Lytechinus pictus: one gene and its partner. The protein of the gene in region 2 purifies or fractionates together with the protein of the main gene of each other region. This does not show direct contact. Links are inferred from orthologs where the notes say so. Each region holds a gene or a part of one and is shown on either strand. Other genes may lie near its edges.

The links. The genes of interacting proteins can lie anywhere in the genome.
Region 1: the proteins of centrosomal protein 43-like (region 2) and centrosome-associated protein 350-like purify together in Homo sapiens (affinity purification with mass spectrometry; 6 studies listed by BioGRID and IntAct, counting the BioPlex papers as one, with this or other methods). This does not show direct contact. The link is inferred for Lytechinus pictus from reciprocal best matches to the Homo sapiens genes CEP43 and CEP350.

The regions. Positions count from the first base shown.
Region 1 is NC_087259.1:22,876,348-22,884,108, reverse strand, and holds the start of centrosome-associated protein 350-like, read left to right. Parts: upstream 1-4,275; 5' UTR 4,276-4,378; exon of another isoform or gene 4,379-4,418; intron 4,419-7,761. UniProt on the Homo sapiens protein: Plays an essential role in centriole growth by stabilizing a procentriolar seed composed of at least, SASS6 and CPAP. Required for anchoring microtubules to the centrosomes and for the integrity of the microtubule network.
Region 2 is NC_087254.1:18,222,767-18,230,681, forward strand, and holds the start of centrosomal protein 43-like, read left to right. Parts: upstream 1-4,479; 5' UTR 4,480-4,582; coding exon 4,583-4,663; intron 4,664-7,915. UniProt on the Homo sapiens protein: Required for anchoring microtubules to the centrosomes. Required for ciliation.

The sequences.
Region 1 (7,761 bases), on a different chromosome or scaffold from region 2:
TCTACATGTATGTCCCTCAGAGGCTAAGTTAATGGGGGCGAGCCAAGTGATTTTTTTTTCCTGATTTCCTCATGGGATTGGAGTACAAGATCCAGGCCTTGTTAACTCACAGAACACAAAGAGTTGTCGTGCAAGGAACAAAGTCAGACTGAGTGAGGTATGAAGTTCTGTAGTCCAAGGTGCGGTCCTAGGTACTGATGGTCCGAAACAGAATTAGTCATTTTGGGATGGGCTTAGGAAGGGCGAATAGCCCCCCTCACCCCGATTGCCGCATTAAATTCCACTTTGGTACACTACCAAGAAGGAATGTATAGCTCTCAGTAAGTTCATTCCTCATAGTCATAACCAAGGACAATCTGAATAAAAAATGATTCGTCTTGGTTTATGATATATTATAGGATCTCCTAGTTTACTCAGACCATCCTCATAATTTAAAAATCATCCAAACGAAATGAGGATTGTCCCTGACTCCATTTACAATTACACTTAACACTGGGATTGAGTTTGACTTCTTTTTATCCACGTGCAAGAAATCAAGAATCATGGAATGTTCGTTGACCCATCCAATGCGGACATGTGGTTGAAACCAATTGAGTGTGCTTGTCAGGGTCTAACAGTTGTTACTACATGTATTAGTTAGACTCTAACTTAAGTTTAGGCCTAACTTATTATCTAGATGTATATTTCTCTCAAACTATGAGGAGATTTTTGCTCAGGGGGGGGTTAGGCCACTTACATTGACGAGTGGATACCATGCGCTACCCCAAAAACACATAAGGGTCCCGTTTCAGGCACTCAGGCGTCAACAACGTCTTTGGCAAAAAGGGTTGCATTTCAGCACCATTCGCTGGTAAATCACCTTTTACGGTAGCCTTTTCTCTCTCTCTTCATGCCATTAAGGGTTGCTAATTTGGTTATGAAGATGACGCCATTGAGGGGTGCAAATATGAATAGATCTACGCCATTTAGGGTTGCAAATTTGAGAAGATTAGGGAGCAGACCTAAGCCACACCATGAAGGGCGTGATTTTAAGGGATACAAAATAATCCTCACACACGCCGGCCAGCGCATCACTTAAATGAGAGAATACCCCCGTACAGTAAAGTCTCTAGTCTTACGCCCGGCTCTATACTATAGGCAGCATGCCAATAGGGTTTAGGCCTTTAGTCTATACCATTTTGTTTGATTCATACCAGGGATGGGGGGATTCCTATGATTTTTTTTTAATTATCAATTAAAACAATAAAAGAAGATATATAGAGGTTTAATTAAAGTATGTCTTTTTCAACACATTAACTGGTATGGAATATGGATTCCATTTTTTCAAGTTGTGATGAAATTGGTAAAATGAATGGTAAGTGATGCATCAGTCAGTAAATGCAAGCAACATTTTTCACTTGCATTCAATAATTTAGGATAAAAGATGGCTATTTAAAGTGGCTAACTGAAGAGAGCTGTCATTGAGAGTAAATTATGCTGGACTTTATATACTTGCAATAATTATTTTAAAAATGCCGGGAATTTATACCTGTGGTATGTAACATCAATTTTACATCAGTAATCCGTATGGTATCAAATTAATCGATTTCTATGTTATGACGCCACTTAGGGTATCGAATTACGGGCTTTTCCCTGTTTACGCCACTGAGGGTATCGAATTACGGGCTTTTCACTGTTAACGCCACTTAGGGTGGCTTTTCTCATGGGTTACGACATTTAGGGTTGCAGATTTATTTAATGAAGTTACGCCGTTTAGGGTGCATTTCTGAGGTTGTCGAACACGGGTGAGTAGCAGTCCATGTGGAGAGTGCCCCCCGGGGATGTCTTTTTCAAGATAGGGCACATTACGTAATCATGGTAACAAGGGTGTCAAAACTCAAAACACTGAAATAATGAATATTTAGCTAGGAAATCTACGTGTTTAGGGTCAAATTTGTGAGGGTAAAATTAAAGACTAAAAAAAAGGATGTACTTTTCGTGCTTTTTGCCCCAACACTAGTAACAGTCAACACTATGGCACACTTCTAAAATAAGAAAATAATAGGGATTAGGGGGCCTACTACATGACTAAGCTAAGGAACATTAACGTGTTGACTGTTAGTCAAGTTCATTAATGTCATGGCCCCCCTTGGCCTTGTTTGTTGCAACAGAACAGGTGCAATTGATTGCAAGTGTAGCAAAAAAAGTAACCACATCATGCCTTTCAAACTTAAAGTTTCATGGAGCTGTGTCACTCAGTCTCACTCTCATGACATGAGCCTCAACTCAAGTTCGGACCAGAACAGGGCTAGGGGCCAGGCCCGGTCTTTCCCGTGTAGATCTATCCTCCCTGGGCCTGGGCTAGCTAAGCTAGGCTGAACTGATCTGATCTCACTTAGCCTGGAGGCGTCTGGGGAGTGAAAGTAATATACTGTACGTATGGTCACTCCCCTAACGCCTGGCATTGTGATGTATAGAGTTCTACGTACCGAGGGAAAAGGCAACTATAAAAATGCGCCAAACTGCTAGTTATGTTTAGAATCTGAGGTCACGACTGCTGTACATGGGTAACAATATTGGTTGGCAACGTTTGGCAAAAAATGCGTAATAATGGTTACAAAATGACGAATAAATTATATGAAGTAATAAAAGTAGAAGAGAGTTTACTTACACTTGTTGACATGGCCATCTTTGATCCTTTGTAATTGCAACCTAGTTACTAACCCAGAGAGCTCCCGCCCGCACAGCGGGCGGGAGCCCAGAAGCTTACCGTGTATTTTACCATTGTCACCGGACTAGGGTGATTTATGGTCTAAATATTTCTCCAAATGAATTGTGAAAACGGAAAGTATACAATTACCACGATTATATGGATGAAGGTCTAACGAGTGGCAGATTCCTGACATCTGGGCACAGTCTGGAACCTCAAAAAAACGAAAAGTTCTCTCCTTCTACCCAGTCTCGATCGGCCATTTTGTTACGATTTTTAACAAAAATGGCCGATCGAGACGGGGTAGAAGGAGAGAACTTTTCGTTTTTTTGAGGTTCCAGACTGTGCCCAGATGTCAGGAATCTGCCACTCGTTAGACCTTCATCCATATAATCGTGGTAATTGTATACTTTCTGTTTTCACAATTCATTTGGAGAAATATTTAGACCATAAATCACCCTAGTCCGGTGACAATGGTAAAATACACGGTAAGCTTCTGGGCTCCCGCCCGCTGTGCGGGCGGGAGCTCTCTGGGTTACCTAGTTACGTGACGCGTATAGAGGGCGGCAAAATCATGAGCGGTGCTAGATTAAAAAGTGCTAAAATGTCCCGCTTCAACCACTGAACTAGAAATACGTGGAAGTCGTGTACACCCAAGCAAAACATCGCCGGCGAACTCGATAAGTCACGTGACCGCCGCCATTTTGATAGGTCAATTGTTCGAGAACGCGCCGTAGAAGGCAAGATGCAATATGTTTTCTCTATGTATTTCTAGTTCAGTGGTTGAAGCGGGACATTATAGCACTTTTTAATCTTGCACCGCTCATGATTTTGCCGCCCTCTATACGCGTCATGTAACTAGGTTGCAATTACAAAGGATCAAAGATGGCCACGTCAACAAGTGTAAGTAAACCCTCTTCTACTTTTATTACTTCATATAATTTATTCGTCATTTTGTAACCATTACTACGCATTTTTTGCCAAACGTTGCCAACCAATATTGTTACCCATGTACAGCAGTCGTGACCTCAGATTCTAAACATAACTAGCAGTTTGGCGCATTTTTATAGTTGCCTTTTCCCTCGGTACGTAGGACTCTATAGACTATACATCACAATGCCAGGCGTTAGGGGAGTGACCATACGTACAGTATATTACTTTCACTCCCCAGACGCCTCCAGGCTAATCTCACTTTCAGCTCAGCTTCGGCCTCCCCCAGCCCCAATCCCAAGCAGCTGCCCCAAATTCCGATGTCAACGACTGAACTAAGTTAGACACCGAGATCATGGCCTGTTTGGGCCGCGGGATCGGGCTGGATAAGGTACGGTCCCGTACCGTACCTACCGGTTCCTAATTCCTGGCTGTAGCTGTAGAGAGAGAGTCGGTTGTTTTCGCCAGACCAGCAGTCTCATCATCATCATCATCAGAACATCGCTATACTATGTCTATAGCTTGCTGCTCAGCTCAGGCTCAGCTAGCTATCTCAGCTCAGCTAGCTCAGCTCAGTCAATGTTGACAAAATCCCCGTTGCGCGTCATCGGCAGACAACTCCGCCCACCTTGTTCGCTGAGAAACACAGTTTTATCATTGTATTAGTATCATCTATCGTAACACCATCCTAGAGAATCAGCAAAAAGGATATATCCCACAATGCACCATTTGCCTCTCTAATATCAAGATGGCGTTTAGGTGAGTATTTCCGTGTAGATGTGAATACGTACATTTGAATGTGAGATTTAGTTGTCGTTTAAACACATTTAATCTGTTTTTTGATAAATTTCTGTCAATTTCAATATTCTAGACAATGTTGATTACTAATTTAACAGATAAATTTCATGTTTGATTTAGAATTTTTGTATTCAAATGGACCGTGTTGTGTTGTTTTGAAACTGACTGTGGACGTCTGTGCAGTGTCGGTGTCGTGTGTGGGCCTATTTTTATTGGCAATTGCAAATGACTCACTCGCACTCGGCAGCTCGCCGTCTTGGCCGTTATTTTTCGGACGCCTCAGGCTCAGCTCAGGCGGGCACAGCCGGCTAGCCAGTAGCCACAGACACAGCTTGGACACAGTCACAGGCGCACTACAGAGTACAGTATAGTTTAGAGTAACCCAGAGAGCTCCAGCCCGCGTAGCGGGCTGGAGCCCAGACGCGCAGTGTACAAACGGGCATTCAGGTGAGAGTACCGTGAAGTTTGGTCAATATCATTTACATAATACATAATTTAAACAGAAATTAAGCACTTACCACGATTGTATGGATGATAGTCTAACGAGTGGCAGTTTCCTGACATCGAGGCACAGACTGGAACCTCAAAAAACGATCAGTTCTGTCGCGGTGGCTCTCCTTCTTTCAAAATTCATAGCAAAATGGCCGTTCGAGAGGGTGTAGGGCGCATGCGCGAATTTGACAAAGTCTATATGCGCTAGTGCTATACTAGCCTCGGTCTCGATCGGCCATTTTGTGTTGAATTCTGAAAGAGGAGAGCTACCGCGACAGAACTGATCGTTTTTTGAGGTTCCAGTCTGTGCCTCGATGTCAGGAAACTGCCACTCGTTAGACTATCATCCATACAATCGTGGTAAGTGCTTAATTTCTGTTTAAATTATGTATTATGTAAATGATATTGACCAAACTTCACGGTACTCTCACCTGAATGCCCGTTTGTACACTGCGCGTCTGGGCTCCAGCCCGCTACGCGGGCTGGAGCTCTCTGGGTTAAGTTTAGAGCTATATTTTGTGCAATATTTTTTGTTCTAAAAATAAAATCCTGTGTCGATTGTCAGCAAAAAATGGAAATTTGCACTGACAAGTGCCAGGCAGAATTTGACATGTTCATCTTTTTTGCAATATTTTTTTTTGTTCTAAAATGAAATTTGCATCAATTTTTGTTGAATATAGATCTAGGCCTATCCTATTTTTTTCTCCTATCATGCCTATCTCAATGCCTCATAGAATTTGGAAATGTATCACCATGTTTTGTGCCCACGGCCACGCGCTATCCACAGCCCCTGCCCTCCACGGAGCTCCGTTTTTACATAGCGCATCACGCGTTTTAAAGTCAATGCGTGCCAGTGATGCTAAATTGTGGCTGGATCTGGATTAGACAGGAATAACCGTCGTTTCTGGGATTTCTTTAACAATTTCTGACATATCACTATAATCCCCATTCACCGACGGTAGTTAGTCTTAGTGTGAGCTCGCATGTGTTATCACTTCCTCTAATTCGCCGATTAACTGTCCAGACTTCAATATTCTTTTTTACATCGAATTTACAGTCTAAGGATTTAGAAACTACCAAAATACAATGTACTATCTTGAATATATAACAAATAACTTAATGTGCACGAAATAGAACAAAGGTATGAAAATGGTACTTTACCGATGTTTACTTGTCTTGGTCCCGTCGTGGTCTCGAGAATCACCCCCAAAATGGCAGCCAAAATATGAAATATTACCAACGAACGGAGAGGGCGTCAACAATTTACGAATATGATATCGATATTGCTTTCGATATTATACGATCTGCTCCATATGCGAGCTAAACCGCTACAATCACAGGTAGCAGACGACATTCGATAAATCGAGACATCGAAAAGTTAATAAGGAAAATGACGACATTCAAGATGGCAACTTGCAAGAAAAACCGTCAGCTTAGGTGAAAATGTCTTAGATGAAAGATTTCTCAATCATCCAGAGGATTTTTTTTTCAATAACTCCGGTCCAAGGTACGCAATTACTAAAGTTATTTATATTTCCCTGATAATGGAAACCATGAAACTGTAAATTTCGCTTAAAAACAGTTTTAAATCGCGACCTATAAAACGTTAGTTCACTTATACGTTGGCTGTACGTACGGGCCTCCAAGCTCTTCAGTCTATGTATTGGTGAGTGGAGCCAACGTAGTTTAGCGGAACAACCAAAATACAGAGACTGAACTTTTGGTCTAGATCTGGATGACCTCACATAGTATGTAGGGACAGTGATTTTCCGCGATCGCGGAAAACGGACGGAATTCACGGAAAGGGTCTTTTGAAACGGAAAATGGCATTTCAAACGGAAAATCACGGAAAACGTATTTTCCCTCAAAATACACAGAATAGCAACAGAAATTACTCCAAAATCACAACAAAATGAGAATATTAAATGGCCAAAAAAACCCAGAAAACACGATCTCACTTCGCTACTATCATGACAATTCACACATCGTGACTGCACTCGACATCAGCACACTCGATTGTACCCGTACCCCGCACCGTACCCGTACCCGTACCCGGCCGGCCGGGTTGGGCTTCACATGCACACATGTATCGTTCAACTACATGTACACAGTTGTGTGTTGCTGCCCTCTACGTTTGAAGATGTAACAGCACGATATCGTGGTCTTAAAATCCAAGATGGCGGATTGGGAAAAGACGTTGACTGATGATAACGATGTCCAAAAACCCCCAAAATTATCGATGAAATATCATTTCACCGTGAAATAATGCTAATAATATGAAAGGTGAGGATGTATGCATGCAAAATGGGTGTGTTAAAATATTTTATTCACCCGCATAGATCCGATTAGAACGGATTTTATTGTGTTGTTGGTACAGTAGCAGATACAAATTTTGACCAGTGCGAGTGTGCATGTAAATGTGTAAACGGAATTGTCACTTTTCCGTGTGTACAAAGTCTATGGGGAAACGGAATTTCCGTTTTCTGACATGCTGAAACGGAATTTGAGATTTTCTGAAACGGAAAAGGCAATTTTTTGAAACGGAAAATCACTGTCCCTAAGTATGGTTTCAAGGTTTCAAGCTACACTGACTGCCTCCTTCAATCCTGAAGATTCTTCTTCATCTTCTTCATCCTACACTGACTGCCTCCTTCAATCCTGAAGATTCTTGCAGTATTGTAGTACCGCGGACCGGCAGGTGCAATACACCGGGTGAACACCCTACTCTTTGACGAATAGTATATTGGTTTTAACGTGCATAGGTTGTGACTCTCCTATTCACGGGACCAACATTTGCGTCCTTTCCGATGGACGGAGTGTTTTCCAACTGCATTCACACCTGCACTGAATAC
Region 2 (7,915 bases):
CTAGTTGTGACCTGAAAGTTTTCTTTCTCGATCTTTTTTTCTTTCTTCTTTGAATTCTTTCTTCCTTCCTCCCTTCCTTCCTTCCTTTCTTTCTTCCTTTCTTCAGGCTTTCTTTCTAGTTGTGACCTGATAGTTTTCCTTTCACGATCCTCTCCCTTGTTTTAATGAGTATTTCAGTCGCCTACTTTTTTTCTTGCTATTCTCCTCGCCTTCCCTTTTCGTATCGTTAGAAATAGATTTTGGTGCTTAAATTTTTTTTTTTACAGATCGGAAGTTTGGAATATCGAATTGTGATTGAAATGATTTTCCCCTGATTTTCACAAGAATTAAGCGGAATTATTCCTTAATGGGGATCGAGCTTTAAAAGTTGATCCTGGAAAATGTTTGAAGAGAATAGATTTTGTCCGGAATATTTGCATTTATACGACTCGATCATATATCGGCCTGCTTCATGAGGATAAATATTTTCCATATTTGTTTAGATGGGAAATATTCACCCTGACTTTTAAAAATGGCAGAATAAAAACAAAACGCAATGGTGAAGGTCTGAGAAAATCCATCAAAGATATTAAAAAGGTATTAGAAGATTATTTTCTTTTCAAAAGCAGCAGAAAACATCAAGAGTAAATAATGGTGAAGGTTTAAAGAAAATGTTTACCTGTAGCGGCTAAGAAAGCAGGAATGCTTGTAAGTAAGAACCAGAGGACCGACTGCTTAAGGTCCTCTCCGAGGGACATGGTAATAATGAAGATTAACAGGGGCGGATCCAGCTTTCGCCAGTGGGGGGGGGGGGGCGGAAAAAAATATTCACTCATATTTTCCCCGATCGGCCACGCTCAAAGTTGATTTGTTTGTTTCTTTGAAGGGGGTAGCCCTGCACTGAAACAAACGGTATCAAAATTAGGCTGGGCCGGAATTATAGCCTTCCAATTTATGTCAGTTTCTTTGAGAGACAAATCCTTCGGAACTTAATGATCAACCGTGGCCAGTTTTGGTTGTTTAAGCAAATTTCATAAATTATTAAATTGAACTTTAATGCATGAGTGAGCACAAATTGCACTTTTTGGGGGCAGCCTTTCAACTTTATCATGTGGATCTCAGCAATGTGTTAATGGGAGTCGGGGGAATATAGGGGGTGAAGTAGGTTGATTGAATAAGGGTCAACGTTACAGAAAATTTAGCCTCCCCTCCCTCTCTCCCGCCCTCCCCTCCTGTTGAGAGACTGATTGCTATTGTCATGTACGCGTGAAGTCCAGAGCAGAATGTTGATTTAATCATGTTAATGATGAATTCTGAATTGAGGCATCAACTTTTTCCTATCAATCGATCATTTAATCAACAATTTATCATGAATCAACTCATTCAATGTGATCAATCAAACATTCATTTTTTTCAATATTTTTTTTTCATAAATCATCATAATCAGTCAATTTTGGTAACCATTCAATAAAAAGAGAAAAAAAACTGACCATCAGCCACCGGTCACTTGGCAGTTAAGTTCTGAATCGGGCTACAATCCAGGAAGTGAGAGAGAAATAGAGAGGTGGAGAGGGAGAGAGAGAAGAGAGAGAGAGGGGGGGGGAGAAGAAACCGGGGAAATGGATCGAGGTGGAGGGGAGTACATAATCAATTTAACATAACACCCCTAGCTTTGCAAGTTCCGAAGGACTAAGCTCTCAAAATAATTGTAAGGCAGCCAATTCCCGCCCAGCCTATATAGCCAAGCTTATAGTCTCTCAGGAGCTAGGAGAGAAGGGGGGGGGGGGTTAGAGATGGAGGGAGGGGTTGCTAAATGTTCTGTTGACCTTTATCCCATCAACGTACTTCACCTACTTAAGTTCTATCTTACCCCCTATTCTCCTGACTCTCATGGACACATTGCTGAGATCCACATGATAAAGTCAAATGCTGCACTAAAATTGCAATTCATGATCACTCATTCATTAAATTTCAATGTGATAACAAACTGATCACAATTGATCATTAATTCATCATAAAACCCTCAAACCCTCAAAAGTTCCCCCCTCCCCCCCCAAAAAAAAAACGGAAAGAAATTGGAAGGCTAATTCCGGCACAGAATTTTCTTACCCTTTATTTCAGTGGGCAGTGCTCGCTCAAGCATGAGTAGTTTTCCAACTTTTGGTGTCATTTGAAAGTTGACTTTATTGGCTTTCCATATGAGTCTTTCCCCCAAAAGTGATATATTTTTTATTTGGCAGCCATTTCAAAAGTGGCGGGCGTGCCCCTCGATCGGCCCCCTGGATCCGTCTATGGATTAATGCCTTACCAAACTTTGGCAAGAGCTCACCAATTGGGAATCGAACCCGGGTCATCGGAATCCGAAACCCGCCCCGCTCTACCGACTGAAGGGAAAAGCAAGGAAGGGAAAGAAAGAAATAAATAAATAAAGAAAGAAAGAAAGACATACAGACAGACAGACTGACAGAAAGAAAGAAAGAAAAAATGAAGGGAAAGGGAGGAATGGAAGAAGATGGAAGGAAGAAGGAATAAGGACGAAAGAAAAATGAGAGAAAGTTAGAAAGAAAAAGGAAAAGAAAAAAGCAAAGGAGAAAAGGAAAGAGAGAGAGAGTAAAAAAAGAATGTATTCAAACTTTATACCGAAAAAACTAAAAATACCGAAAAAAATATAAAACGAATGTATTCATCACTTTATACCGAAAAAAATATAATTGAGTATAAGGGAAATGCACAAAATTTTAAGTTCGCTCGCCATGTTCCCGCCCCGCCTACTGATATCTCCTGGCTACGCCAATGCCATAAATAATGTCTCAAAAGGCTATTATATTTTACTTTTCATGATAGGAACGAAAAAGCTAGAGGACAATTAATACAATTTTCCCTGAAATTTCCAAATATGTGGGATAGCCCATTAAAGGAAGGGGGAGGAGTCCGGGAGGAGTACACAAAAGGCAATTTTTGTTCTTGGCAGGCGAGTGTCGAATTTTTGACAGTTGAGGTCAAAGACCGTCTTTTTTAATTACTCCTGGGGATCAGATCACTGGCAAATCAGACACCCCCCCCCCAAAAAAAAAAAAAAAACAGCCCAGATATTATCAGTTCGAGAAGCCCTTTTCACTGTTATACCTGTAAATGCTTTCACAATTATTTATATAAAAAAATCATCAAATGATTCTCGGAAACACTCATCCCACCGGGGTTTAAATAAAAGCAAAAACTGAAAGGAAACAAATCATCGGGCGTACACGGGGCGTACACTCTGCCCCAATCGGCCCAGTGACCACTGACCATTATAGCCTGTCCTATTTTAGCGTACTTTGCTAATGACGGAAAAAATGGGGAATTCAAATCGCGATTTGAAGTTGTCCTGTCCCGGTCCTGTCATTCAAGGAGAAAACCTCACATGATAATTTTATGATAATTACTGGGTTTTTTTTTTCAACAAAAGCGAGACGATGGAACCCATCCTTGCTGTAATAAAAGCGGGAATAAAAAATGATGTTGTTGTACGTAGATATGAAGTTAATTGTTGATAACATAAAAAAAAAAAAAAGTTAATTGTTGATGATGATACCGATTAAAGATTTAGAAAGTTATCAGAATTTATTTTTTTTATGTGACGTCATAATGCGAGTTATATAGCTTATCGTGAATGAAAAAAAAACAAAGAAAAAATCAATGAAATTTCATTTTCCAATGCAATAATCATTTGATGTATAAGTTATCGCCTTTTCATTCCGGTTACAAAAGCGCAATACACTTAAATGATTTTATTGAACCTGTATGTCAACAGGCAAATCATTTGCCTGTAATAATATGTCTGTAAAGCGCTTAGAGACGTCGTTCCGATGTATTAAGCGCTATATAAATGCGGAATATTATTATTATTATTATTTGCATCTGCTCCTGAATGACAAAAAATATATTATAGTCATCATGAACCATTCAAAATTGAATTAATGCATTTTAGATTGCATTACACTTAGGGCAGCTGCTCGTACATGACGTCAAATAAAAAATTTCAAATTTTATTAAATTTCTTAATCTATATGATTTTTCTCAAGGCTTCTTTACCAAATTTTATCCGGGTAGTTTTACAACAAACTTTTCGTCAGGGTGTAGGCCCTACTTCCCTTTAAGTGAGGGTCTTATTTTGGTTAGAGTCAATAGTCATTCCTAAGAATTATTCTTAACCTGATGGTCTATTCAAGATTCACAGACATGCAGTAGCAAATTACATCACAAAAGTATATTTATATAGCGGCTATAATTACAACCTTATTTTTGGGTCATCCGTTTGTAAACATGAATTAATTACTGACCGTACAACGTTTTACACATTATTGTGAATTGAATTGTATTGTATTGAACTGTATGAGGCGGGGGGGGGGGGGTCTTTTTTTATTTGGCAACCAGTCAAATGGACTACAGTATTTTCGCCATAGAGAGTCATAGTTTTTCCCCCCTGAATCCCCTTTGTAGACACCATACTTAGCCTTGCCGACTACTATCTCTGCAAGATAACTTCAATTATTTTTTTGGCTCTTACATTCATTTGGACTTGTACTCGATTTGGAACAATTTACCCTACCAAAGTGCCATCATGTCTGCTGACGAAGACACAGAATTAAGAGACCTCATTGCTCAAACATTGGAGAATAATGGGGTCCTTGGGAAGATTCGGGTAAGTTTCGTTTGCCTGGCCTGTGCCACTCCCTGTGAGCTGTGCCTGTGGCGGTACGTACTGGTACTCGTCTCGCGCTCGGCCTCGGGCCATGCCACTGCAGGGCCGGGCCGAGCGAGCCAGGGTCAGGGAAGTCGGCTGCGGCGCGGCATGCAGGGCCCGCGAAGCTTCACCTTCGCTACCCGTGACGTTCGTGTACCGTGGCGTAGGCTCCTCGCTCCTCGCTCTGATACTCTCTCTAGTCTTGAGGACGCAATGATGATGACTTTTAAAATAATGAAATATACTTCTTTTTGACTTTCGTTTTGACACTCTTCCCTTAGTCGCAGAAGTGAGAAGAGAAGGGCCAAAACAAAGATCATAAGATGGATTTCCCTCGGAAATCCATCTTTTGAAACAAAAATAACTTGAATTTTATGAATTTCATTGATTTTTACACCTTCCTACGCCTAATGCGTAGGAAGGTTTTAAAAATTATAATATAAAAATGTGAAAAAATTAAGGTTTCTTACCTAACTGATACCGAGTAGACCCCTCGATCCACATGTAAACAACGCAAACTTCAATAGCGTCGACCCTTGAACCGCTTACGTATGACGTACTTCCGGCTAGCGATGCCGTTCTGATGAATAATTTATAGAAAAAAATATTACTTCGCAAATGTTAAAATTTATCACGTAATTATAAATAATTAGTATAAAAATACTAATAGGCCCTAATTATTTATAGGCCTAATCACGTATGACGTAATAAATTTTAGTATTTGTGAAATAATAATTTTTATCTAAAAATTATTCATCTTTTAGAGCTTTGATATCTGTTTTTTCCTGGTTGTTTTTTGTTTTGTTTTGAAAGAAATAGACCACTCTTTTCCTTTTCTTTTGGCTTCAACTAATACTTTTGTGCCTTTCAAGTCTATCTATCATGTCCATGGGGAGATTGGTAAATTTGGATTGTTAAGTTCTTTTCCACAAAATCTTGCTAATTTTCTTGTTTTGTTTCATAATAGTATGGAAGTTGTGTAAAAAATTGTGTACATTTATGTGCAGTGATTTCACTCTAGAATCTGAATTTATTTATTTTTCTTAAAAAAAGATAGCTCAAACAGGGCCTTTGTAATACAATGTATGTACAGTATACAAATCTAAGAAATGCATTGAAAACCGATAGAATATATTAAAGCTTTATTTTTATCGTTCTTGATATTTGTAATAAATTGCATACAATGCTACGTACACATACACTCAGCTGCTCATCCCTCCTAAAATAATTGTAATCAAATGTCCATTGTCTCTAACATCAAAAGCTACATATTATACATGTATAACAAATTGTTGAAACAAAAGAATACATAAGGAATCGGTGAAACAATCAAATACATCAGAAAATAGCACACTTGTATTTTCATTTGGTCATACAAAGTACAAAAGGAATGATAATTTTCATATGTAAAAAAAGACCTCCGTACATACATTTATGTATACAATACTAAAGTTGAAAAAGAGCTTGTAATTTAAATCAGAAAATTTCTTTACAAAAACAATATTTTAAACAAATTCATTTAGGAAATTATCTACATGATGCTGTTTTGATGCCAACTAAATTATATAAATTATCTATCATTCATGATCACCTTCATTTGGCAAAAAAAGAGGCGAGTATTTGTGATTTTGCGTAATTTGCATAATTAATTAGAATTAAAGGAGAATGAAACTCTTGAAGCAAGTTAGCTTTTGTGAAAGCAGAAAAATCAAAGAATAAGATCAACAAAAGCTTGAGTAAAATAGGACTAGCAATAGAAGAGTTATGAGCATTTGAATGTCGAGATCACTAATGCTATGGAGATCCTCCGATTGGCAATGCGACCAAGATCTACGATGTCACAGATGAACAACTCTCCCCTTTTGGACACTGAAAATATACCCCAAAACATCTCTTTTTGCTCATTCTTATCATATGACAAACGATTCATCAATTATATAATGTTGTGAAACCTCTGTACTTTTCCTCTCATAAAGAGAACACCTCACTTTGTGATAGACTCTATAAAAGTGAGAATATAAGTGAAATAAGTACTAAAGTAATGAGGGAGTTGTACGTGTGTGACATCACAGATCTTGGTCGCATTGCCAATGGGAGGATCTACATGGCATTAGTGATCTCAATATTCAAATGCTCATAACTTTCTTATTATTCATTCAATCTTCCTCAAACTTTCAACAATATGTTTCTTTGATTTTTCTCTTTGATATGGATTCAGCTGGTTTCAAGGGTTTCATTCCTTTAATTAGAATAAATTATTTTACACATATTAAGAAGAAAAATTACAAAGTGAAATGATTACACATCAGTTGAGCTTTCTTTCACCTTTCCATTGATACCTAAATTACTTCAAAGGGCTAAAAAACAAAGCAGTTAGAGCCTGTTGAAGACTTGGGTTCAAAATGTTCACAAAATGGTCACAAAAATCGGTTCTGTATTACATTGACTTTACATTAAGACAATGACCACAAATTTGGATGAATATGCGCGACTCAAACTGGAATAACTTTATAAGTTCTTGATGAAAATTAGAGTTCTTGGTATTATATGAAAGATCTTTTCAAGAGCTTTCAAATGTTACCAAATTTATTGATATTTGATGATTTTCATTTTTTTGTCACATACCTACTCAATTCATGACTATATAGAATGGGATCTTTCGCATCGAAATTGGATATAAAATAAGAAAGGTATGACATTTCGTTTATTTTTCAAAAAACAGTTTTAATTCTATTCACAACTCAGTGACATCACATGCAAATGAGAGAGTCGAGAAGTCCATCATTCACTATTTTTTTAATTGTTTGAATCATACAATATTGAATTTTTTACCAATTTGACTTTAACTTAAGGACCAACTTCAAGGAGAATGAAACCCTTGAAACCAGCTGAATCCATATCAAAGAGAAAAATCAAAGAAACATATTGTTGAAAGTTTGAGGAAGATTGAACGAATAATAAGAAAGTTATGAGCATTTGAATATTGAGATCACTAATGCCATGTAGATCCTCCCATTGGCAATGCGACCAAGATCTGTGATGTCACACACGTACAACTCCCTCATTGCTTTAGTACTTATTTCACTTATATTCTCACTTTTATAGAATCTATCACAAGGTGAGGTGTTCTCTTTATGAGAGGACAAGTACAGAGGTTTCACAACATTATATTATTGATGAATCGTTTGTCATATGATTAGAATGAGCAAA